Xenopus tropicalis: one gene and its partners. The protein of the gene in region 1 binds, or shares a complex with, the protein of each later gene. Links are inferred from orthologs where the notes say so. Each region holds a gene or a part of one and is shown in the gene's direction. Other genes may lie near its edges. The genes, in order: gnat1, unc119 and pde6g.

The links.
Region 2: the proteins of gnat1 (region 1) and unc119 are in contact, whole or in part, in a crystal structure (PDB 3RBQ), measured with the Homo sapiens proteins. The link is inferred for Xenopus tropicalis from reciprocal best matches to the Homo sapiens genes GNAT1 and UNC119. Residues at the interface, in NP_000163.2 of Homo sapiens: Gly2, Ala3, Gly4, Ala5, Ser6, Ala7, Glu8; in NP_005139.1 of Homo sapiens: Asp87, Phe88, Val89, Arg90, Phe91, Ile105, Lys106, Lys107, Gly126, Arg127, Phe128, Val129, Tyr131, Phe137, Val147, Glu163, Leu172, Ser218, Tyr220, Asn230.
Region 3: the proteins of gnat1 (region 1) and pde6g are in contact, whole or in part, in a cryo-EM structure (PDB 7JSN), measured with the Bos taurus proteins. The link is inferred for Xenopus tropicalis from reciprocal best matches to the Homo sapiens genes GNAT1 and PDE6G. Residues at the interface, in NP_851365.1 of Bos taurus: Ser140, Arg201, Arg204, Lys205, Trp207, Ile208, Phe211, Asp227, Val229, Glu235, Val236, Asn237, His240, Glu241, His244, Leu245, Ser248, Ile249, Ile281, Phe283, Glu305, Leu306, Met308; in NP_776846.1 of Bos taurus: Arg36, Gln37, Phe38, Lys39, Ser40, Lys41, Pro42, Pro43, Lys45, Leu60, Val66, Ile67, Cys68, Pro69, Trp70, Glu71, Phe73, Asn74, His75, Leu76, Glu77, Leu78.

What each region holds. Positions count from the first base shown.
Region 1 is NC_030680.2:126,816,615-126,824,718, forward strand, and holds the start of gnat1 (guanine nucleotide-binding protein G(t) subunit alpha-1), read left to right. Parts: upstream 1-4,049; 5' UTR 4,050-4,158; coding exon 4,159-4,264; intron 4,265-7,780; coding exon 7,781-7,823; intron 7,824-8,104. UniProt on the Homo sapiens protein: Functions as a signal transducer for the rod photoreceptor RHO. Required for normal RHO-mediated light perception by the retina.
Region 2 is NC_030678.2:34,704,272-34,711,737, forward strand, and holds the end of unc119 (protein unc-119 homolog A), read left to right. Parts: intron 1-721; coding exon 722-835; intron 836-3,179; coding exon 3,180-3,282; intron 3,283-4,266; coding exon 4,267-4,439; intron 4,440-5,053; coding exon 5,054-5,166; 3' UTR 5,167-7,173; downstream 7,174-7,466. UniProt on the Homo sapiens protein: Involved in synaptic functions in photoreceptor cells, the signal transduction in immune cells as a Src family kinase activator, endosome recycling, the uptake of bacteria and endocytosis, protein trafficking in sensory neurons and as lipid-binding chaperone with specificity for a diverse subset of myristoylated proteins.
Region 3 is NC_030686.2:31,883,006-31,891,170, forward strand, and holds the start of pde6g (phosphodiesterase 6G), read left to right. Parts: upstream 1-2,656; 5' UTR 2,657-2,736; intron 2,737-8,165.

The sequences.
Region 1 (8,104 bases):
TAATTTACCCCCTTATTATAAATTAGAAAGATATTGGAAGTCACAGAGTGACCATTTAAAGCAAGGGTGGGCAAACTACGGCCCATGGGCCACATCCACCCCATTGGTCTTTTCAATCCAGCCCGCCGAGGATTGGTGTGTCTCGCTTTCCTAAAGTTGGCCACACACGTGGTGATCGGCCACTAACATTCAGGGCTGACTCGGCAGATAAGGAGATAGAAACAATAGGATTCCTACCTCCTTCTGCCGATTCAGCCCTGCCGGCAGATTTTGCTCAGGCGTCTTCTATGGTGCCCGATCAAAATCTTTTAACCTGGCCGATCGGCGAGTCGACTGATATCAGCAGCCACCTGCGATATTGGTCGACTCGCCGACTTGCCATACACACACCGAATATCGTACGAAACGCAGTCTGCAATCTTCTGTCTTTCAGAAAATCCTGACTCCGCAAGTCTCATCACACGAGACTTGGCATCAAGACTGCATGTAAATGCAGCAACGCAAAACCCAGGGGACTGACAATCAGAGACGGCGCTGGTCCGGCCTGTCAGTTAATGTGGCCCCTGAGCCTAAAAGTTTGTCCCCCCCGATTTAAAGGCATGAGATTGCCAACCAAATGCTTTTATACAGGTTATAAGCTCCGAGGTAAATATCACCCACTTACAAGTTGAAGGGGGCAAATACTGTGCTAGAATGATACACACACAAGGGGCGGATATACATTTGCATTTTCAGAGTAGGATGGACTTGATATGCAAAACAAGAAAACTCAGCGTGCCCACCACTCAGAGTTACAGAAGGGCCCAGAGGGGTAGGCCGACAGACGAGGTACCTGCCTGGTGCCCCCTCACTGTTGCACCCTATATATTCTGCCTATCCCTAGTAGATTATCAGTATTCAAACCCTGCCTTTCATGTTTAGTTTTGACTGTTTTGTGAGCAGAAATCCATTAGGATGGGGGATTACCTGTGCACTGAGATTCTATTTATTTACTACTCAAGGATCAAATATGGAGTAGCTTTTCTTTCCCAATTTGCCCTGTTTAGCTCAGGAAATAACAATAGCCATGGATCTCTTGTAAATAAAATATGGGTAAAGTATGTTTACTTCGGTACAAGCTCTATTCATTGCACTCATGTTAAACAAGGGGGTTTTATGCACTTTTAAGTGTCTCTTTGCAGTGATCCCCAAACAGTGACTCGGGGGCAACATGTTGCTCCCTAACCCCTGGGATGTTGCTCCCAGTGGCCTCAAAACAGGTGCTTATTTTTGAATAAAGATGTAAGTTTTGGAAGACCATGTATACTGCCAAACTGAGCCTCCTGTATTCTGCCAGTTTACATTGGTTTATCAAATAACCAATCACAAAAATGTGTTTCTTTACACATACATACCTGATTCCATAGAGAGAAAGGAAACCATAATAGTTTCAGGACCAGCTTCCTCCTCCCCACCTTTAGTCTCACAGAATGATCTCCTCCCTTACCTTGTTCTGTTGCAAAGTGATGGATTCTGGGATTTGAAGTCTGCTTTCCAGAGAATCTGCGCACAACCTAGTATGGAAAGGTGAGGGACTCCCAGAATCTATTACTTCAGAATGGAACAACGTGAGCTTTACACTGTGAGCTTAAAAGATGTTGGAAAATTATTTGATTTTGCTTAGTGCACTTGTCTATTATTTCAGCCCACACATCCCATGTATTTGTTTGTTACATTTTCTTTATCCTTCGTTAGCATATGATGCCCATCACATATCTGTTTACTAGGTAAAGAGCCGGATCCCCCGGGGTGAATGCATTAGCATAAAATTGAAAGTGTTTGCACAGTGCTGATCTTTATATACTGTAGCACACATAATGACTTGCAATTCCATTAGAGACTTCCTTGCTGAGGCTTATTAATGCTGACACAAATAATTTCAAAATGAGGGCAATTAAAGCTAAAAACAAATAGCTAAAAAATGAGCAAGCTTAGCGTTTGTACAAATTGCTGGGCTTTCAGGTGTTGGACGGAAAAATACAGTAAAGAATAATAAATCTGCTGACACTTTTGGCCTCAGGTGTATTGGTGTTTTAGTGCCCTTGCAATCTGATTGGAACAACTTTCATACCTGGTTAGTAATCTTCTATAGCAGGGGTGTCAAACTCAATCACATAAGGGGGCCGAAATCTAAAACACAGGCTAAGTCACGGGCCAAATGTTTTATTAATATACTTAGTAAGATACTAAGGGGTATATTTATCACAATGTGTAAAAAGTGGAGTAAGACATTACAGGTAATGTTGCTCATAGCAGCCAATAGATGCTTTGCTACTGTTGAAATCTGATTACTGATTGGATGTCTTGGCCAACATTACTGGTAATGCTTCACTATGTCCAATGTATGAAACCCACTTATTGTACAGCGCTGCGGAGTATGTTGGCGCTTTATAAATAAATGTTAATAATAATAATAATCATGTAATCCAACTTTGATTGCTGGATGGATCCCGCTATTAGTTCTGCTACCAGAGACACCCGATTTCCAAGAGGATGATGAAGAGGAAGAGTAATGGTGCTTTGCAAGTGGGTAGCATACCGTAGAATGAATGTGCAGCCACTTGAAACAATTGAGCAGATTGGCCTTTTGAACAGTTTCACTAGAGTCTTCTATATATCAGCCAGTACACTTGGCACATATCCCACTGCCTGTTTTTCAAGCTTAAGATGGTAAGGTAAGCCATGAGTGAAATCTAGTCATATTGCTTGGGTTTGATTGGTTTGATCAGCCCAAAATCAGCTCATTGGATCTACTGGAATTTAAGCATAAATTGCACACCCATGTCACCAGATTACAGTGATCAGGATGACAGTTCATCAAGTGAGTTGCTTCTTAGTTGAATCACTTTGCACAAGATGTTGATCTAGTGAACTCAGCCAATCAACTCAACTGCACTGGATTTTACTTTAACATAAGAGGCCATATTTAAATTACACTTGACTCTGCCATGTCAAGCCACAAGGTGAACCTGTTGTGTATTCAGTTTAGGGGATCCCTGCCAAGTTTTAGGCATAACTAAGATCTTAGCTAACGCAAATCCTTGCAAGATCTGCTATATTATCTAGTTATATAGCTCCTGGATTCTATATTATAAAGCTACAAGCAACTATTGGGATATACTGTAGGTCTTTACATACCTTAAAGTCGTATTTACCTTAATATCCTTTATCATCACTGTGTTCTTGAATATGTTTTTTTTTTTGTTAGTGTCATAGTGAAACCTGGGTACAAAATCAATGGTTATATGCAGCGAGTCCCTCTGGGAGGTTTCTTTGCCTATTTATAGAACACATGCATCATCATGATATCCATGGGCCTTCATAAGAAGACAACCTTGTGCCATACAGAAGCAAACAAAATAGAGGTAGATGTGGCAGTGCAGGACTATGTGGATTCCACATTACATACGCACAGGGATTCTCAGTTAAAGATACCTATAACTTTCACACATGTGTGTAGCATACATAGTTGTCAGCAGGCACAGCATACATAGTTGTCTGTGGCCTACCTGTTTGCTGTACTTTTAATTGACTCTGAAGCTGACTATTGGTGAAATATTGATTCATTCAGTCACATGTATATTTTATTCTAAAAAAAAGATCCAACTTCTGAAATGATAGCAGTGCTTGTTTCCTGAAGCCATGACTCTACCTGTTGGCAGGGAAGGACGGGCAGTGTGTCTGAGTACAAATGCTACTAGTGAGATCTTTGTACAGGATAGAGATGGCTTAGCACAAATCTCTCCTCTCTGGACTCAGCGTATACACAGATTTAAGATAAACCTCTTCTGTGGATAAGGATACCCATCTTTCCTGGGCAATACACTTCAGCTGAGCTCAGCATCTCCCACACCTGCTCAGCCCCCATACCTGTCCTTGCACCCCATAGGCCAAAGTGGGTCACCTGACCACTTGGATCTGTAAAACCCTTTTGGGAATTACAGCAGATCAGCTTTGGGAGAAGGAGAGGGGGTAGAGCACTAAGTGGTGGTCAAACAGCCAGACGGCAGGGACCACATTAGCTCCCCGTTCCCCTGTTTGGAATTCCCCCATTTTTAGAGAAACCAGGAGGTCAGGTTCAGCCATCTCTCTCTTGCCCCGCACTTGGAATACGGGAATATGGGGGCTGGAGCCAGTGCTGAAGAGAAGCACTCTCGGGAGTTAGAAAAGAAGCTAAAGGAAGATGCCGAGAAAGATGCAAGGACTGTCAAACTGCTCCTCTTGGGTGAGTAAACACATTCCTCATAACTAACGGAACAAAGTACTGCTGGTCAGCCTGTCAAGAGTTTGTTCATGTTTTGTTCTTGTTGGCCACAACAGACTTTTCCCAGATAACAGTACAGTAATGAAGAATCAGACAATATAGAATGGGAAAGAAAAGGTCAGGGCAGGGGAGAAAAAAGAAAGAAAGCGAGATCAATTAGAGAACTTCATTTGGCAGAAAGTGACTGGCTAAAGTCCTTCTCATTGTACACAGTGACACCAATTAGAGGGTTTCAGCTGGAAGAGAGACATCAATTAGAGACCATCTGTTTGTAAATGGCCCTTAACCTTTTTGTCACAAAAAGGGAATATTCTAAAAAAAAATAAAGCAGTGTGAGAAGTAAAAAAACAATAGTGCCCTTTATAGTATATTAATATTTATAGGCAAGGGATCATTTAACAAAGGTATTGAATGGCACCAACTTAATTAACTATTACACCCAAGCATTTCCTTTCTCTGTCTACCTTGCAGTAGGCTAATTTTTAATGCTGAGGGTTTTTACCACACTGGAGCAATATTGTAACTAGTACTACTAATCAGCTGCCAGTTTCTCCAGTGGAGCCTATGTCATACATAACCATAATGCATATACTATATATTGGTTCTCAGGGCTCTAGCAATGATGCCCCCTACCTACAGTTGTACCAACAGTACCTTTACATTAATATCCCCAATAATATGCTGACATTTGTGCCTGCGCTGCTGGGAAGAACCACATACATAAGGGGAGTGCCAATGGATTTCTTGGTCTGTAGGCCTATACATAAATGTATGCATAGGGGTGAACCATATCCAGGAATCTGTTCAGGATTGAACTGAATTCCAGCATCTTTTGTAGGATATTGGATGTGGCCAAATCCTTATGGTTCTGATTTAATTCAGTTGAACACTTAAAGCCACATGACTCTTCTTTTTTATACAGGCTCTCAATAGTGTGCTGGACAATGAATGAATAATTTGGCCACTGTGTCTCCTTTCCTACCTGCCTGCCTGTCTAAACACAGCCTCTATACCCTCATACTGTAGCATATAATGTACTGTCATATGTGCACTGCTCATATACAGATATTCCATTGTAAAAACAAAATTGAAGGCTTTGTCTGGTCCTCACATTACTCACTCCCTTCCAATCTGCTCTTAATCCTCAAATCCTTCAGATAAATGACATTTAAAATAGTTTACTTGTAAATTGTAAGCAATTTTCAAATCTTCCTCCTCCCTATAGGCTGTTGAGATAAGAGAGGGATATCTAAGTTAAACACAAATAGAATGAAAGTGATGAGAAGAGAGATCAGGTTCTAACAGCTGATCCCAGCTCTGGGTCTTATCCCATTAAAGCTGCCCAGCCCCTAGAAAAGGAGGCTTAATGCTTACACCTTGAGAAGGTACAAGGTCAGATGGGTAATCCCAGAGGAACACAGACAGTGTGCCATCTGTACATTTATATAAATAAAAATTAGTGGCTCAACCCTATCTGACACAGAAGGTGGTCTTTATCTCCAGATTGTATGGTGTTCCCATTGTTCACACATACCTATGAGCATCATAATGATGAGCATCATTATTAGCAGCATAATTGACAGGTATTAAATTAATACATGGTTTATACATTGTGACTGCATGTTACCTTTGATAACGTGATCAGATTGAGTTCTAGAAGACATCTATGAAGACACAGTGTGTGAAAATTGTCTCATAGAGAGATATGTCTTAGGTGTTACTGTTCCATTTTTTCTGTTGTAGTAAGCCTACAGCTGATACCTGTGGAACATAACCCACCCCACCCACCCCCAGTCAGTGGTAGAGTATAGTTTGTGATCAACGTTATTGTTTTGTGAGCAGTAATCCCAATCTGTAGCTAGTTACATTGTTTTGCATCCAGTTATAGTCTTATATTACTCATTGTGCTGCAATCAGTTTCTTTGCCCTGAGACTAGTAAAATCTCTCTGTAACTCATCACATACACACATCCCAGTTACAATACTGGGAAGTTACTAAGGAGGGGCTCTAAACGCCAATGAAAGTCAGAGTTTGAGGAGAATACACCTGAAAGCCCAGCTTGAAGATCAATTAGAATAATAGAATAGAATAGAATAATTCTGGGGTGAAAATATATTTGCTGCCAAAATATTCTTGGAACCATGGCAAAATGAATGGCACACCGTACTGACTTCATGAGCAAAGGCTTAAAACTTATAAAAATTATAAAATTGCCTTGGTGCCCATAGATACTAAAGTCACATGTCTCCTGTTTTGAGCCTGGATTTTCATTTGTAGATAACCTGGTTCTTATAAATGAATAAAAAATATAAACAATGGCTAACAGCATGTCTTTAAATCAGCCAGTGGTAATACAGGGTGTAAACATACAGGAGAAAATACTGTGATTGCTACTAAAACCATTATGGCCTATACATTTCCCTAGAGCACTGAATATATGCCTGATACAAACAGCCTGTAAGTACTTAGTTAGTAAGGCTCATTGTAACAAAATTCCAAAAAAGAGAGAGTTTATTGCAAAATAATTGTATTTTCTCTTTATTATGACCGCCCAATAGGGAGCTGTCCTGTTACAGATAGTAGAATCTTATGCTGCTAGTTACACATACATATTAAGATTACATCTTCAATGTTTATTTGCACTAAAAGGTATATGTTTATCCCAATGGGTTATTAGACTATTGGATACTTTACCTATAATACTATGTATCCCTCAGCTATGTTTGTCACAGGAGGATCTTAGTATGTCCGCAGGGCATGGAAGCCCACTATCAAGAACTGAGACTTTAATGTCCATTCTGCGCATTTTTTGCCCAAATACCATTGTCTGTGGCTATTACTAGTGATGTTTCCTCAGGTTTTTCTTTTAAATAGACCTATGCTTCAATAGAAAAATTAAAAATTCTAGACAAAATTCTAGGCAGGTGCTGGTTTAAGTAGACCCATGAAAATAAAAGATGCCTAATCTAGTCTTCACTAGTGGCTTAACTAAATGCTACTGGGACCCACAGCAGGGCCCCTATCCCAAAAGCCTACAAGCTACAAAAGCTATCCAGCTGGAGGCCTCTTGGCTTTATTGCGGATGTCCAAGAAATTTTGACCACACTCCAATCTGTGTGTGGGTTCCATAAACTGCACTATATCATCATTTTGATACAGTCTGGCCCATGAAAATATTGTATGTCTACTAACTGGCTCCCCTGCATGGAAAGAGTTCTCCAGGAACATTTTGCTACTTATGGTTTGTTGTTGTAACAGCAGGAGGATAAGGCACATGAGCATTTAACATAGAGACTGACAGGATATTCAGAGGCCCTCATATACTGAAGTACAACGCAAGACACAATGTGGCAACCTACAGCAATCAATTATAATTTATTTTACAAGAATGAATATCAGATAACTGCTTAAGTGTCCATTGTAGTACTTTCTGTGTCTATTTCACAGTTACAGTTATTTTGTTCTTTTGGTTACAGGGGCGGGTGAGTCTGGAAAAAGCACCATTGTAAAACAGATGAAGTAAGTTACAGACCCCATACGCACTGCCACTTGCACTGCCACTTGCACCCCCATTCCCACACAATAAGGATTTCATTTATGAAACCTGTGCACACACAGACTTTATTTTTCACCAAGCCCAGCCACTTTTCACTACAATAAACACACTTCTACATGGAATAGCTGCCAGAGTAACATGCTTAGGGTTCCTCCCCAACTTGCTCCTGCTACAGAGGGAAACATAACAAAAGAGCCACTAGATATTGTATATTACTTTCTCCTGAGCTGCACAGCTCCTATAG
Region 2 (7,466 bases), on another chromosome or scaffold:
ATAAATCTAATTAATTACATTTATGCACAAAGTTTTATGTAAATTACTGAAGGTAAAAAAAAAAAGTAAATTTTTGTGTTTTTTGTATGCTTACCCATTCACCCATTGGTGATTTTCTGGGTAGTGCTGGCCATACATTATAAGATCCATTCATTTGTGAAGTGGCCAATATCGGGCTGATCTGATCGTTTAGCCCTAAGGCCAAAAGATCAGATCACCACAATGGGAATAAAAGCTGTTGGCTCGCGTGAACAAGCCAATGTGGTCAGACAGGAAAATCAAATCAACACCTGCCCGATTTTCAGCCAGATATTGGTCAAGTAGGACTGTGGGAGGGCCCCATACTCTGGCAGATAAGCTGCCAACTAACAAATTGGTATCTTAAATCTGCCCTTGTATGGCCACCTTTACAGACACCAAATGAAGGCGGAATGCAATCATTAAAAGGAAGCAGCCGGTGCAATGTACAGGGAGGAATAGAAGTAATGGAACAAAGGGTTCATTATTTTTAATCCACGTGTTTCAATGAGTCATGTGACACAAAGGACATCACTAAGCACTGATTATAACTGATAACAGTCCCGAACACTATTTACGGGGATATATTTTCATAATAATGTTTTATATCAGAATTTAGCTGCAGTCTCCTGTTTCAGGAACCCTATATTTTTTTCCTGTCTTACCGTTTTATTGATTGAAGCTATTTTTTACTCCCATCCAGATTACCTGTGTACCCCTGAAGAAAACGTTTACAAAATAGACTTTACCAGATTTAAAATTCGTGACATGGAGTCTGGAACGGTGTTGTTTGAAATTACCAAGCCACCAGCATCAGGTATGTACAGAATTATGCTGATTCTAGCAAGGGATAGAATCTCCCAACACACAGACATGGGGAACCCTTACACAAATGTGAATATACACTTGTATTGTAAATGTATTTGTTTGCTCAGCCTTGGGAGGAAGCCTGTGGCAATAACACTCCCCACCCAGGAAGTGCTTTATCAGATTATTATACTGCGTGTCATGTATTTCATGTAAAGCTAAATCCATTATGATCGTAAAAATGGTTGTGTCTAGTCACGCAGTGCCGTTTAATGCCATTTAAACCAAACAATAAAATTTCATTACAATGCTGCTACTGCTATAGTATGCTATTTTCAAACCGGACTGGCTCCATGGAAAATATCCCATTCTGAAAAGAAGAAGTGATCACAGCTGGGTAGTTATTATTATTATTATTATTATTAACAATTATTTATAAAGCGCCAACATATTCCGCAGCGCTGTACAATAAGTGGGTTTCATACATTGGACATACAGAGTAACATATAAAGCAATCAATAACCAGTACAAGAGGTGAAGAGAGCCCTGCCCAAAAGAGCTTACAATCTACAAATGTAGCACCTTACTAGAATCAGAGCTTTTCAGAAATGTGTATTTTATATTATTATATATAATATATTATTTTGATATTTTATTTGGCAGTGGGCAGTAACCCATGGCAGCAAATAAGATGTTTGCTTTCAACCTGCAGCTGCCCAGTGTTTATAAATGAGCACCCAATATTTTCAACCCGCCTGGCACCCAGAATTTCCAGGCTGACACACTGCTGAGAAGGGAGTTCTACTCACAATGATCAGGATTGTAACTGTTGTAACACTTGACCTATAGGCTTAATTTGGGACTTTATGCAATGCAATGAAGTGAGTCATAAATCCTTGAATTAGAAGATACAGGGTTGTTACAGAAATAGTTTTCCATTGTAGTCATAGCAATCATTGCTAACTGATGGGTTTGGGTATATTACCGTTCCAAGAGGGACTTATGCACATATTCCTTGTCTGTTAAGTAGCAGGCTGGATTTGTTTTCCTTTTGTCTGAATGTACCATTGGATGTTTGTTGGGAACTTAAAGCTGGTCATATGCAGAAAGGTCCACTCGTTTGGTGAGGACTCTATACAAGTGGACCAATCTAAGCGCATATGCACTTCTCACCCTGATCATCATCTGGCTGCTTATTGTTTGGGCAGGCCTGTCTGAAGGCCCCGGGCACTGCTGATAAGCTGCCCACTCCGTGACCGTCAGCAGCTTTTATCTGCCCATGTAAGGCCACCTTAACCTGCTGTTGGGATATACTGATGGTGTTAAATAACCAGGCACAGATTGCTTTTACAGATTAACCAAACCCGCCAGAAAGCTGCGCTTCTAAAGCTGTGTTAAAGGGGTTGTTTAGCTTTATTTTAAAGGAACAGTAACACCAAAAAATGAAAGAGCTTTAAAGTAATGAAAATATAATGCACTGTTGCCCTGCACTGGTAAAATTGGTGTGTTTGCTACAGTAACCCTACTATAATTTATATAATAAGCTGCTGTGTAGCCCCGGGGGCAGCCATTCAAGCTGGAAAAAAGGAGAAAAGGCACAGGTTACATAGCAGATATGTTATGTAACATAACAGATAAGTTCTGTAGAATACAATAGTGTTTTATCTGTTATCTGCTATGTGCCTGTGCCTTTTCTCCTTTGAATGGCTGCCTCCATGGCTACACAGCAGCTTATTTATATAAATTATAGTAGACTTTCTGAAGTAAACACACAACTTTTACCAGTGCAGGGCAGCAGCACATTATATTTTAGTTACTTTTATACACTTTCATTTTTTGGTGTTACTGTTCCTTTAACTTTTACTATGATTTAGACAATGATTAGATATTCTGAGACAACTTGCAGTTGGTCTTCATTTTTTATAGTTTTTTTTGGTCATTTAGCTTTTGGTTAGCAATTTGGTATTTTAGCAGCCATCTGGTTGCCAGGATCTTATTTTCCCTAGCAACCAGGCAGTGGTTTGAATAAAACTAGAATAAGTACAGGTGATTGAATAGAAAGATAAGTAATAAAATTGTAGCTTTGCAGAGCAGTAGTTTTTTACCTGCAGTGACCACCCAATTGAAAGCTGGGTAGAGGTAGTAGAGAAAGGCAAATAACCCAAAAACCATTAAAGATAAATAATGAAGACCAGTTGCAAAGTTGCTAGGTATAGGACATTCTATAACAGTGATCCCCAAACAGTGGCTTGTGGGCAACATGTTGCTTACCAACCCCTTGGATCCTTGCAATGTTGTGGCAAGCTAAATTCCCTTATATAGCATTTCATTAGATAGCACATTTTATGTTTTAGAACGTGACCACGGCGATAAAAAGGATGCTGATCCTAATGCTGGCAGATTTGTCCGATACCAGTTCACTCCAGCTTTCCTGCGACTGCGCCAAGTAGGAGCAACGTAAGTGCCTAGAAAGATCACTCTTATAAGCAAATGCTTGCTCTTCTGCTATGAGAGAATTTGCAAGTAGGTTCAGGTAATGTAAATACAAACTATGTGCGATAGTTGTTTTCATTTCCTTTATGGCTTAACTAAGAACATGCAGTTCTGCACATGAAAATCAGTATATTAATCTAAGTATGAGGAGAGAATAAATAAAAATGGAACATTTATGCAATGGTTTGCATGTAAATTAGAGTTCAACTTTTATGGATAATATATTTCATTCTCCATAATGGCACTAGCTATGAAAATAGTGTTACATACAACAGACTCATATTGTGCTTAATGTGAAAGTCTGCCTGGGCCACATGAGGTTGGAGGCACCAACGAGTATTTTACTTCAACTGGTCCTGGGCCAGGCAGGGGTATAAGTATAGTGAGAGCATTGCATAACAACTCTGTCATTAAATGTACTTGCTCCTTCCTATAGTTGCTCTGGGCACCACTCCTTTCTGTCTTCTGTTTGGAATCGTGTGCCGCAGCACCTACTAACGCATGGGTACTCTGGAGCTACTGCCACCTCTGGACCAGGAGGTAGCTCCAGGGTTCCCCTCGTGCCCTCTGTCAATTGCCACAGCACAGTTGTGCTAAAGGAATAGGGCACACACGTCATGGCAAACACCAGAAATGATGCCCGAGAACACCAGATGACAGGCAGGCTTAGAAAATACTTGTCTCGGTTGCAACCCTTATGCAACAGACACAGTTGTGTCCATTATTACAAAAGAATGTAGTTGCATTGTGTATTATATGCTGTGTTACGAGATCCACTGGTTTTAGAAAAAGAACATTTGCATTGTGGCTCAAAACTGCACTTTACTCACTGCACTTGTTGACATAAATGAGCCCTTTTGTGTAGCAGCCTCTGACTGATCACAAAGTCTGCGTTACTGAAGCAAACATGTATCTTTTATATTTATGTATGTATATATTTTATTGCAGAGTTGAATTCACAGTTGGTGATAAGCCCATTAATAACTTCCGCATGATTGAACGGCATTATTTTCGTGAGCAGCTATTAAAAAGCTTCGATTTTGAATTTGGCTTCTGTATCCCCAGCAGTAAAAACACTTGCGAACATATCTATGAATTTCCACAGCTCTCTGAGGATCTAAGTAAGTTATTTCTCTACGTAAGTATTTAGAAATATATCTGTTCCTCTCTGTGGTTATATTTTATTTCATATAACAAATGCAGTCTGATTCTCCGTGAATCAGTGCAGATTTCAACTTCAAAATAGGCCCTGGCATTTCAAGTACACAGAGGCCCAAACAGCCCCCCACCAGCCCAATAAATAGTGACTGTCTATGGCATCTTACAGCAGCCCCTCTGGCATTTGCCAGAACCCACAGATTGCCAGAATTTGTGTAATTTTCCAACCTTCATAAGATGTCAACTGAGAACTCCATTCTCACTGTATTTTCATAAGCCTGAATAAATATTGAGGGAAAATGCCTGCCAGCTGTTTGGTTATTCTTTTAGGGTGAATAGGCAATAGAACTTGGCATGTAAGGCTGACATATCCACCATTTGTGTGCAAGCTTCTACCCTGAGACTGTAAGATAAAGAATTAGATGGCTTAAAGTACATTTTTGCCAAATAAATCTGTACTCATAATATTCTGTAACATTCTGGCAATGGAAGGTCCATTTTGTTTGAGATTGATGTTTAATAAATATTGCAAAATAAAAATCTTGTTTCCCCTTTTTTTTCTCATTCTATTTTGCAGTTCGCGAAATGATTCTGCACCCATATGAGACACAATCGGACAGTTTCTACTTTGTGGACAACAAACTTGTGATGCACAACAAGGCAGATTATTCATATAGCGGAGGTCCGTGATCCCCAAAAATAGCACGAGCGAGAAAGCATCAACAGCAGTCCCCTTTCCCCATAGCAGTTACGTAAGGGATAACACCCACTTTCCGTAGGCAAACAATCCAGGAAACAATATACTGTTTGCAAGTAGGAGATTTTTGGCTGTACCCCAGTCTTTGTAGCACATTCAGATAGTGCAAGAATCGTCAAACTGCAAAATCTGAGGCAGTGGACTTCATCAGCCCTTCCCAACATGAATGTGGGATAAGGATAAACCTAAATAAATACTTCTCTCTTGCTCCATATAAAGGGTTGTTCTCCTGGAACAAGGACTCTTGCATCTTATCTAAGTCTTCTTAGGACCAACCTTTCTCATATGACAGGCTTGTGAGTTCTTCATCAATATTCTTGCCTCTATCTAAGAGAAGAAAGGACAAAAAAATCATTCAGTAGTTTCTTTTTTTACTAAATGTCAGCTTGGGAAAAAAACATTGTTATCAAGGAAATCCAAGCCAAAGATTTAATCAGTTCTTCCTCTTTGGGCTTGCACTTGTTAGGATTCTTGTTATTCTCTAGGCATTAAGTATTGTTTGACATTTTCCCATTCATTTCTAATGAGATGGCTATTACACAAAAAACAAACACAAAATTGTGCATAGATCGTTAAGGATTAAGTGTTCCATCCATGATTGCAAATTACATTATTATTGAGTCCAGCCTAGTTACCTATGAGTCTGAAGCAATGAGGCCCATCCAAGGTAAAACCTGATCTGATATATTTGAAATAAGTTTTGTTTACGGTTACACTGTATTGTGCAGAAATAACAATATTAGCAATGTAATCCATCATGGAGACTAGAACGGAGTACAATCAGTAACAACCTGTGAGCAATTGTTTGTTTTTTTCCTTTATTTTTTTTTGTCTTTAATTTAAATATCACCAAGAAGCGCTGCATATTTATTTCAAATGGTCCGGTCCTCCTCCTGGGGAACAAGCTCACAGAGGCAAGTATTTTTTTTTTCTTTTTTTGATTGCAGTAAATGCACATTTAGAATTCCAGTCAGTTGAGCAATAATTCCATGTATAATACAATATCATGAAGATTGTGAATAGCTTCAATTTTGGAGGTCTTTTTCGTTTCTTCTTCCTCTTCTTGATGATGATGATAACTACACAATTTATTTTTAAAAAGAAAAAATGCTGTGGCACCTATATTGGGAAGAGGAGAAGATCTCCAGATGCATTGGAACAGCTATACAGATTTCCAGTAAATATGATCAAGTCCAGCCATTAGTATCTTCTCTGACATTTTTGTAATGAGCTTCCAAAATGCTGCAGCTGTGCTCTTGGTGTTGGGGCAGAATAAATGAATTGCTGTATATTTTATGAGACCATCAAATGTAAATAAGCATTTATATTTAAGGATTAACCTCACCAAAACCAATTAACATACATTGATAAAAAAAAAAACCCAATTCCAGTTCTCATTGTTTTTTTAACAATATGACTTTATCATCATGTATTTTCTTTCTTTAGAACAAATTTATTGTATTTTGCTGACCTGGAATTTCAGATTTCTTCCTTGAAACATGTTTGACGATGCTGCGAGATATTCCGCTAACGGACATTTAAATAACTAGTTTATAATGCAGGTAAATGGCTGTCCCTACAGTGCATACGTACGGCTGGGTAACGATGAGACCGAAGAAAGAATTCACTTTTGATATTTCATTATTTTAATAACTGTCACTTATCAAATGCATATTTTTCACTTTACCGAATCCACCATTTTCTGTATAAATAAGGAGGGAGTCTTTACAGCTGCAAGTTGTAGATATTTCTATGTATAATTATAAATAAAGAATGTCTGTCTGTTTGAGGATTAAGTAGAATGTAATATGTGCACTTCAGATAATTGTTACTGTAAGTATCATAGATTTTAACAAAGTACCGCCACCAGCTTGGTAGAGGGGTCATTTCAGTCTTGTTTGTGTTCTGACTTAATTATAGTAAACTTTTGTGAAATGAAACCAATATTGTGTGAGAAGTTCATTTATATTTTGAGGTAAATCTCCAAACCTTAAGTCTGCTAAAACTCATTTAAACATTTAATTAAACCCAGTAGGGCAAATTATATCTTAGTTGGGATCAAGTGCAAGGTACTGTTTTATTATTATTATTATTATAGAGATAAATTGAATCATTTTTACAAATATAGAAAAAATTAGAACTATTAAAATTGAGTTTATGGGAGATGGTCTTCCTGTAATTCGGAGCTTTCTGGATAATGAATGTATGTACTCTGCAAAGATAGCAATGTAGG
Region 3 (8,165 bases), on another chromosome or scaffold:
AAACACAATTGGCACTCCATCCAGATTTTAAGACCTTCCTGCAAGTGGCTCTCCATATTCAACCACGCAGGCAAGCCCCACTCCCACCCTGGGACTTCAGTCTCGTCCTCTGAGCTCTACAAACCCAGACAAACCCCTTACAGTCAGTCTAAAGTTCTTATCAATTAAGGTGGCCTTTCTCATTGTTATTGCTTCAGCCAGAATTTCAACCACTTGTTCCAGTTTTGGATCTATTGGCCCTTTATTGCTAAAGCCCTCTTTGTGTTTTCCATGAGGACAAGGTGGTACTCTGTAGCAAATCCGAATTCCACCCAAAGGTAGTGTCGGAATATCACAAGATACAGACACCAGAAATGAAAACTTTTTATACAACTATCATAACATTGTATTTGTATGAGCTTTAGAATTTTACCATAAAAGTATCTGACCAATACTTTTAGATTACCTATTTGGTTTCCTATGTTCCTCTATGAGGGGGCTGCTATATTTGTGTAGCAGTAGTCTGTTAGTATTAGAAGCTAAAACTGACAGGTTGAAAAGGGACAATTGGGTTGGAAAAAGAGTCAGGTTTAAGAACTTTAAGTAACAACTGCGAAAATTAATGTATGTTAATATTTTTTTAGTGTCATTTTCACTTTAAATCAAGAAATCACCTTGCCTTCCCTGTGTCCCAAGCCACAGAATGCCAAGGAAGCCACATTGCATAACCTCGATGGTGTCCACAAAACAGGCTTACTGTTTGTCCCATTTGCCTCCACTTACCATGGAAAAATGGCTAGCAAAGCACCAAAAGTTGGTGGATAAAAGAAACTATTTATCTGGTCTACACCCAATACTGCAGAAAGGACCTCTTTCAGGTATCCACTGATTCCACAAGAGCCCCAACCAAATCTTTACCCACCCTATTTATCTCTACCTATAACACTCTTATTTACCCCTGTCACCTCCCAAAATGTATTACTAGAATTACTTTTAATCATACATTTTCTGTAGGTGAGAATCACCTTAAAAAGCAATCGGAGACTTTAGGAATAATTTAAATTTAGGGGGTTTCTAAAATGGTTTTTGCTGCAGGTCCCAGAAATTTCTATTTATTATACTCCATCATTATTTAAAAGCCCTGTTTAAAATCCAGTCAAACTAATACTCATGTCCATTAACATGTTAAGTATGGTAGGGCTATTTAGACCCAGTTAAGCTTTTCATTATTTCACCTGCAGTACACTTTTCAAGATTAATTGCCAACTTGTTGCTATAATTTATTTGGTCCAATTTGTTAGATTAGGATTACTGGGTGAAATACAAAGGCCCAGCACCAGTGATTATTTATGTGGCTGGTAGGTTGTTTGTTTAGAGCCATGTCCACCATACTGACACTGATTTACCTCCTATATAGAAGATGCTGATCCTATAGACAATGGTGATTTTATTATCTGTACTGAGTTATATATTTGATTACCATGTTTTAGTTGTTCTGTTTTATAGTTAGTGTTGGGGTGACAAGCTGAGATCCTTTATCTTACCACTATAATTGTGGTCATGTTTAAAGTCCCCAGATGTGCACAGTTGCAATAAATCTGTTTGTAAATGTCAAATGTTAGCCTGTTTGCCATGTTAATAAGGGAACTAGTAAACAGTTACCTACAACACATTGTCTTAGTCTCAAGGACCAAAGATGGAGGACCATGTGCAAGTTTCTTTTTACCTGTATATAAATGAGCAACAAAACCATATCATGAAAGCGTGTGTGTATTATATCTGCAGTAAATTATAGTTCTTTCTTACAGATGCCACTTTCTATCTTGAGGAGACTCACATCGGTCCTGTCTTTAGTGAACAGAAGTACAAATGCAATGCGATTTTTAAACACATCCACAAGTGAAAAGATTACAAACAGTTCAAGTCATGTGACTAATTCCAGCAGCGCAATGCAGAGAGTAGATCGTATCATAGATGACTCACAAAATCCCGGCGATTCCCAATTACCACCACCTCCAACACACTGCTGTATGAGTGGCTGTCACAATTGTGTATGGATTACATATGCAGAGGAGCTCCTGGAACTGTACAAAGATGGAGGCGAAAGGGTGCTTCAGGTTCTGGAAAAGCATATAGACGATGAGAACCTTAAAATGTTCATAAGGATGGAAATACGCTTCAGAATGATCAAGGACAAGTCTTAGCTTAAACTATGGACTGTTGTGTAACAGGGACATAGTAAACGGGTCTAAAAATCAGCATAAAGTTGGAATTTTGAAATGGAATTCATAGTGTACAATACTCCAATTCTCTAAAGTTCCTCTAATATACTGTAAGCAAAGCCCAGTGAATGGTGTAATTCAGTAGAAATATGAAGAAATCTTTATCAACTGACATGTTTATATTAAAGCTTGTTCACCATTTTACTAGGGCCTACCATTTGTATATAAGTAGTACATTATGCATATATTTGTGGTGAAATGTAAAATATATTTATTAATAAGGATTTTAAGTGTTGCACGCAATAAATATGTAACCTGTTCGCATCACAAATACGTACTGTCTGTGCCCCCACCAATGGAATATCAGATTACTTATTGAGAACGAGAACTGTAATCCTATTAACCCTGAGCCTGATAAATCCAGAGACTCAGCTGATGCAAAGGATCAGCTGTCCCAAGAGAGGAGGCATGAAGTGAGGTACCGCTGCTCACCTCCCGTAACTGTGGCAGGACATGTGAAATCTTTTTGCAAAGGGTAAGTTATAGAAATGAAAAGATCAGCATCTGTAATTTAAAAATGGATTACAGCATCATGAGAGTCATTCTTCCTAACATTTAGTTTGAATATTTTTGTGTTTGGGTAGATTTAAAAGCCAAACTGAGGTGCTTTCTAAGAGTCTGATATTTTAGGAATGGGGAAGGGCTTAAAGTGTACTTTGGTTTCAGCGAATTGCTAACTTGCTTCTCTCTTGTATTAATACTTAGTTTTGGGGTGAAAAAGGAGATTTGGTAGTACAATATATTTGTATACTTTTCACCATATGCAGACATGGTGTGACTTGGGGGGTGAAATCTAGTTAATTTCTCACATTAAGATGTTTATGTTGCAAAGCAAGAGTGTATTCTGGGTTTTTGTGTGCATTGAAATCACAATAATGCGGATGGATACTATCAACAGAGCAAGGCACTTTTTTGTAGGTATGAACTGTACAACTACATTTGGTTTTGGGTGTCCAGGAGATGATGCACAGAGTATGGTAAAATACAGATGGCCCATCCATTTATTATGTTTTAATATGAAGTTTGTTCACCTGAAGAAAAGAGGAGTCTCATGGAGGTACACACAGTGCCACCCCCATTGCACAAGGATCCAAAATACAAACGTTTTATCTCTACAGATCCTATATACAAATATATCAAATTTTGAAATTCTTACCGCATTGGCAACTAGTTATGCTGATTTTTTTTCTTTTGTTTTTGAACTTCAGCAAGTTAAACCACTGTCCAAACTCTTATGATGCATTAGATTCTATTAGGCACAAGGATTCATGTATGCTGTACCCGTCTGTTGCAATCAAATCCAGAAGGGGCCAGGTCGAGGGATTTGTGATTCTGTATAAGCAGCTTGAAGTGAAACGATTCTGCTGCATCAGCAAACACCTTTGTTTAATCCTGTCATATCCAAGCCTTTCACTTGTCCTGTTGTCAACTATGCAGCCATGCAAAGCTTACATAAATCAATAGCAAAGCATGTGAACTGAAACAACAGCTCAATCACCTGACACACTAAAAATCTGGTAGGGAAATAGCCTTGGAAGGAGTGGGAGCACTTTTTTATCCAAATAATAGTTTCCTGTAAATGGTGAGGTGGTCAGTTTCATTAGATTCTAGAGAGTGCCTAACATTATAAGGATGGTTTTGTGGCCTCTTAAATGTTTATATGTGAATAGAATATTGTCAGTTTAATGAAATGCTACCACTTTTGTTTCTTCAGATTGTAGCGGCACTTTATTAAAATCCTTATTGTGACCATAGTGCCATTGCTGCAGACTCTACATTTCTGGTTGGCTCTTTGATTTCTGCTGTGTTTGCTTACATTGCTGGCAACACACAGCACAGATCAAAATCCAACCTGCATCATGGAATGGGATTATCTAGCCCATAACATAACCATATTATTATTGTTAACTTTATGTTAACAATATTAAGTGAAAAGAAACAACATAAATACCTCTTTAAAACCTTAGAAAATATTGCTACAAAGGCTACAGATATCCCCGAAACCAGCCCTTTTAGTTTTTTTGCACTCCCCTATACCATGGATCAGATTGCCTCCACTGAATTGTGCATTTGACCCAACAGAGTAACAAGTAATAGCCTTTTGTTAAAGGTAGGTACTGCAGGCTCACAAATTATAAATAATGCCTATACAGGATTCCTGAGGTCCAAACCAGACCTGAAAGTATCAATCAGAAGAATCAAGATGAGAGACCTAGCTGTTCTTACCAATATCTAGGCTGGCCACTGCCATGGTAAGCCCCTTCCCCATCAATAATTAGAATTTTTAAAAATGTATTTCTATAATTACATTTAAGAATCATCAGTGTCCCTTTCAGAAGTTACCTTCTGTGAGCCTTTCCTAAACACCACTGCTACTTTAGAGTAATTCCACACAGGGCTGTTCTGGGTGGTTTAACACTGCGTTTGCAAGTAGCAAATGCTTTTGCTGGCAACTGTGTCCTAATAAGCGCTATCACCAGAATTTGTTAAAGGGGTGGTTCTCCTTCAGGTTAACCTTACAGTATATTATAGAATGACCTATTTTTAGCAACTTTTCAATTAGTCTTTATTATTTATAGATTTTGAATGATTTGCCTTCTTCTTCTGACTCTTATCAGCTTTCAAATGGGGGTCACTGACCCCAGAAGCCAAAAAACTTTTGACCTGTGAAGCTGCAATTTTATTGTTATTGTTACCTTTAAATGACATATCTTTCTATTTAGGCTCTCCTCTATTCATATCCCTGTCTCTCTTTTAAACCACTGCTTGGGTGCTAGGTTAAATTGGTCTGGCTCAGGGTACTACTGACGGAGCGCCACATTGCCATCTATTTTGCTCTCCCAGTAAGCTTTTGTAACTGATGTGCAGAGTAAAGACTCAAAGTTTTAAGGAAAAAAAATGGCATTTTCTCCATGGTGCAAGTGCACCCACCCTGGGCTGTCTGGGGCTCCACAGTGGATAAAATATGTAAGCAGGAACTCTTACATTGGCACCTTGGCCAGTGTAGTATAAGCTTAATGCCCCCCCCCCCATCCCAGGGTCACAGGTTAGCAATTATTATTAGTGGGGGCAGGGTATCTAACTATTTAGGCCCCCCATCCTGTTGACTATGACTTCCTTCTCCTTTAGCACTTGTGAAACAGCCCCTTTTGCCATTATCTTTACTTGTGGATGTTTAGCAGTCATTTGTTTCAGGGGTTTCTTAACCTACTCTGAAAAAATAAATAAAACCTGTTAAGCACCTGTTTTACAACTAAAATTGTAAGAATACATTACACCTTGTAGGTATGGCCTACGTGAAAGAAAAGGAATTACCAATTGCCAGGGATTTCCATTTTGGAGGGGAATGACACATATATAGTTAATGCATTGCTGATATATAATGGTTAATATAAGGAAATTTGGCAGTACATTAGTTAAATATTTCTGTGTATTTTTTTATGTATTTCTGATGAATCCTGATAATGTCACATAATTCTTTTCTAAACGTTGTGCACCTTTAAGAAGAGGGTATTGATGGGCTTTTTCAAATACATACTTCTTTGCTCAAATGTAAACTAAATTATATCTTTTATAATTCAATACATTGTCAATCATGTGGGTATTGTATCTACAGCCTCCCAGGCCAGTGGCACCAACCAGTGCAATTTGTTTATCCATCGGTGCTGCCTACTTGCAATTGGTCAGATCACCCTGTAGTTCAAAAAATGTGATTTGTAGGCAACTTTTGGTTAGATCAGATCCCCTATGTAGAATTCAGCAGTAGTGTATAAGATAGACATGTATAATAAGATGGAAGTAGATTTGACTACCAGGAATACTCCATGATAAAGGGAGGGTCTTGGGGGACTTGTGCTGTCATTACTTATGCTTTTTCAGACAGAATTGAGTTGACTGTTCAGACAAAAAAAAAAGAAGGGGATCGGATAGTGCTATGAATGGTTAGATATTGTATAAAGTGCTTAGCTATTGTTAATCTGTACTGGCAGTACTGTAGATTTACAGAGAAAAGAAACTGTGGGAAAAGCACACAAAGAAATATTTGAAGATCACTCAACAAATGTTTTTTCTTTACATCTCTTTCATACAAGGAAATGTAGTTCCTTTTTAAAGAGAATGCACAATTCCTCACTTGTATCTTATGTAATTACGTAGTGAGACAGAAAGTACCTGACGTATATGGAATAGCTGAACTGAAGCTGTTCTCATGGATTAGAATAGGCAGACAATCTACGTTAAACATATAAATTAGCAACAGTCTTCTAATGTTATTGGTTGCATACGTTGTTCCCTCATTAGGAAAGACATTCCTGTTTCACGTTCCTGAGAAGGGGCAGGACGTGCCTAAATATAAAGGAGGGTACAGTATATGGAGTTTAGATGTAACTGAGCACAGGGCAGATTATGTTCTGTCTTAATATTCAGATTGGATTATTACAGTTGGAAGTGTTGGTAGGAATGCACCACTTTAATCCATATGTTCTTCTGCCTACTATTATGAGAAGAATCCATTTTGTTCCACACGTAAATGTAAGGGCAAGAACAGAGTACAGGGACTTATTTATAAGAGATTCAGATATGTAGAAAGGCATGGTGTGCCCCTTATCTGTTAGTGCTGGAAGGACTTTAAACTCATGAAACAATGTGTTGGTTAGCTCATATATAAATGGTGGGAGAGAGTCGAAAAATAAGACCACCAAGAAGCAAAGGTATTCTAAACCATGTACCTAATGCTTGCTTGGGGCCACATTACTGGACCAAACCCAATTAAGACCAGACAGCTGCAATCTACCTAATACCTAAAGTCCATTTTTTGGTAAACTCTTCCTTTGGACTTTCCAAGACCAAAGGGACATCACATGGTTAGAAGTAACAGTGTCAGTAGAAGAGGAATTCTTTCTATTTTTGTTCCTGGTCATAAATGTTACCAAACTTACTTAAAGACAAGGTGTGATGTTTATAGTAGCTGCTTTCATCTTCTGAATAGCCGTTGCCTTTATCCTTTGTGTCGGCTCAATGCTCAAAGCACTTATTTGTTCAGTTTTAGTTCTCCTTTGTGTTTGTGTAGTGCCAAGAAGAGATGTACACATTACACTATCCCTGTTGTGAGTCTTCATGTTATTGAATCACTATAAAGTTTTTCTCGCAGTAAGAACAGGTAATGCTCACGTTGGCATAGTTTTATTACTCATACATCTGTACATTTGGGCAAGTTTAAAGGAGAAGGAAATGCATTTTGGCTTTTTACTGCCAATAGATTCGCCACATTAGTGCCACCTAGAACGCCATATTTATTCTGCAGAAAGCATTAACATACCCGAGTAAACAGTTCTAGAATCTCCCTCGCTTTGTTTAAGATAGTAGCTGCCATTTTAGCTCCGTCTCAGTAGCTTCCATGCTGTAGCTCTATCTGTTGGTAGCTCAGATCACACATTCTTATGGGAGGGGGAGTGAATTCTTATAAATTCTTATGGGAGAGAGCTGCACAGACTTGTGCCCCAAACCTGAAGGAGCCCTAAAGCAGAGGAAGTCTGATACCAGAAGAACATGTTTACATAAAAGAAGATGAGAAATCCTGTGTTTCTTTTGATAGAGGCAGTAATTCAGTGCAGCTGAAGGGCAATCGCTTGGATACTTCTTCTTTATATAGTGTTTTTTCCGTATTTGTTAGAAGAATTAACCTGACGTTAAGTGAAGGGGCATTATAAAGGATGGTGAGAGAGAGAGCTGTACCTAAACTAGCCATAGACAAACCAATAAAATAGTAGTGTTTGGTGCATGTATGCTGCCCAGATGATCCGTACAGATATCTAGGTACCATGGATATCCTATGGTTTGTTGATACGGTACTTTAGCAGATGAGGAAGTGAAGTGAGTGGTTACGTTTTTTTTTTCTCTATCATT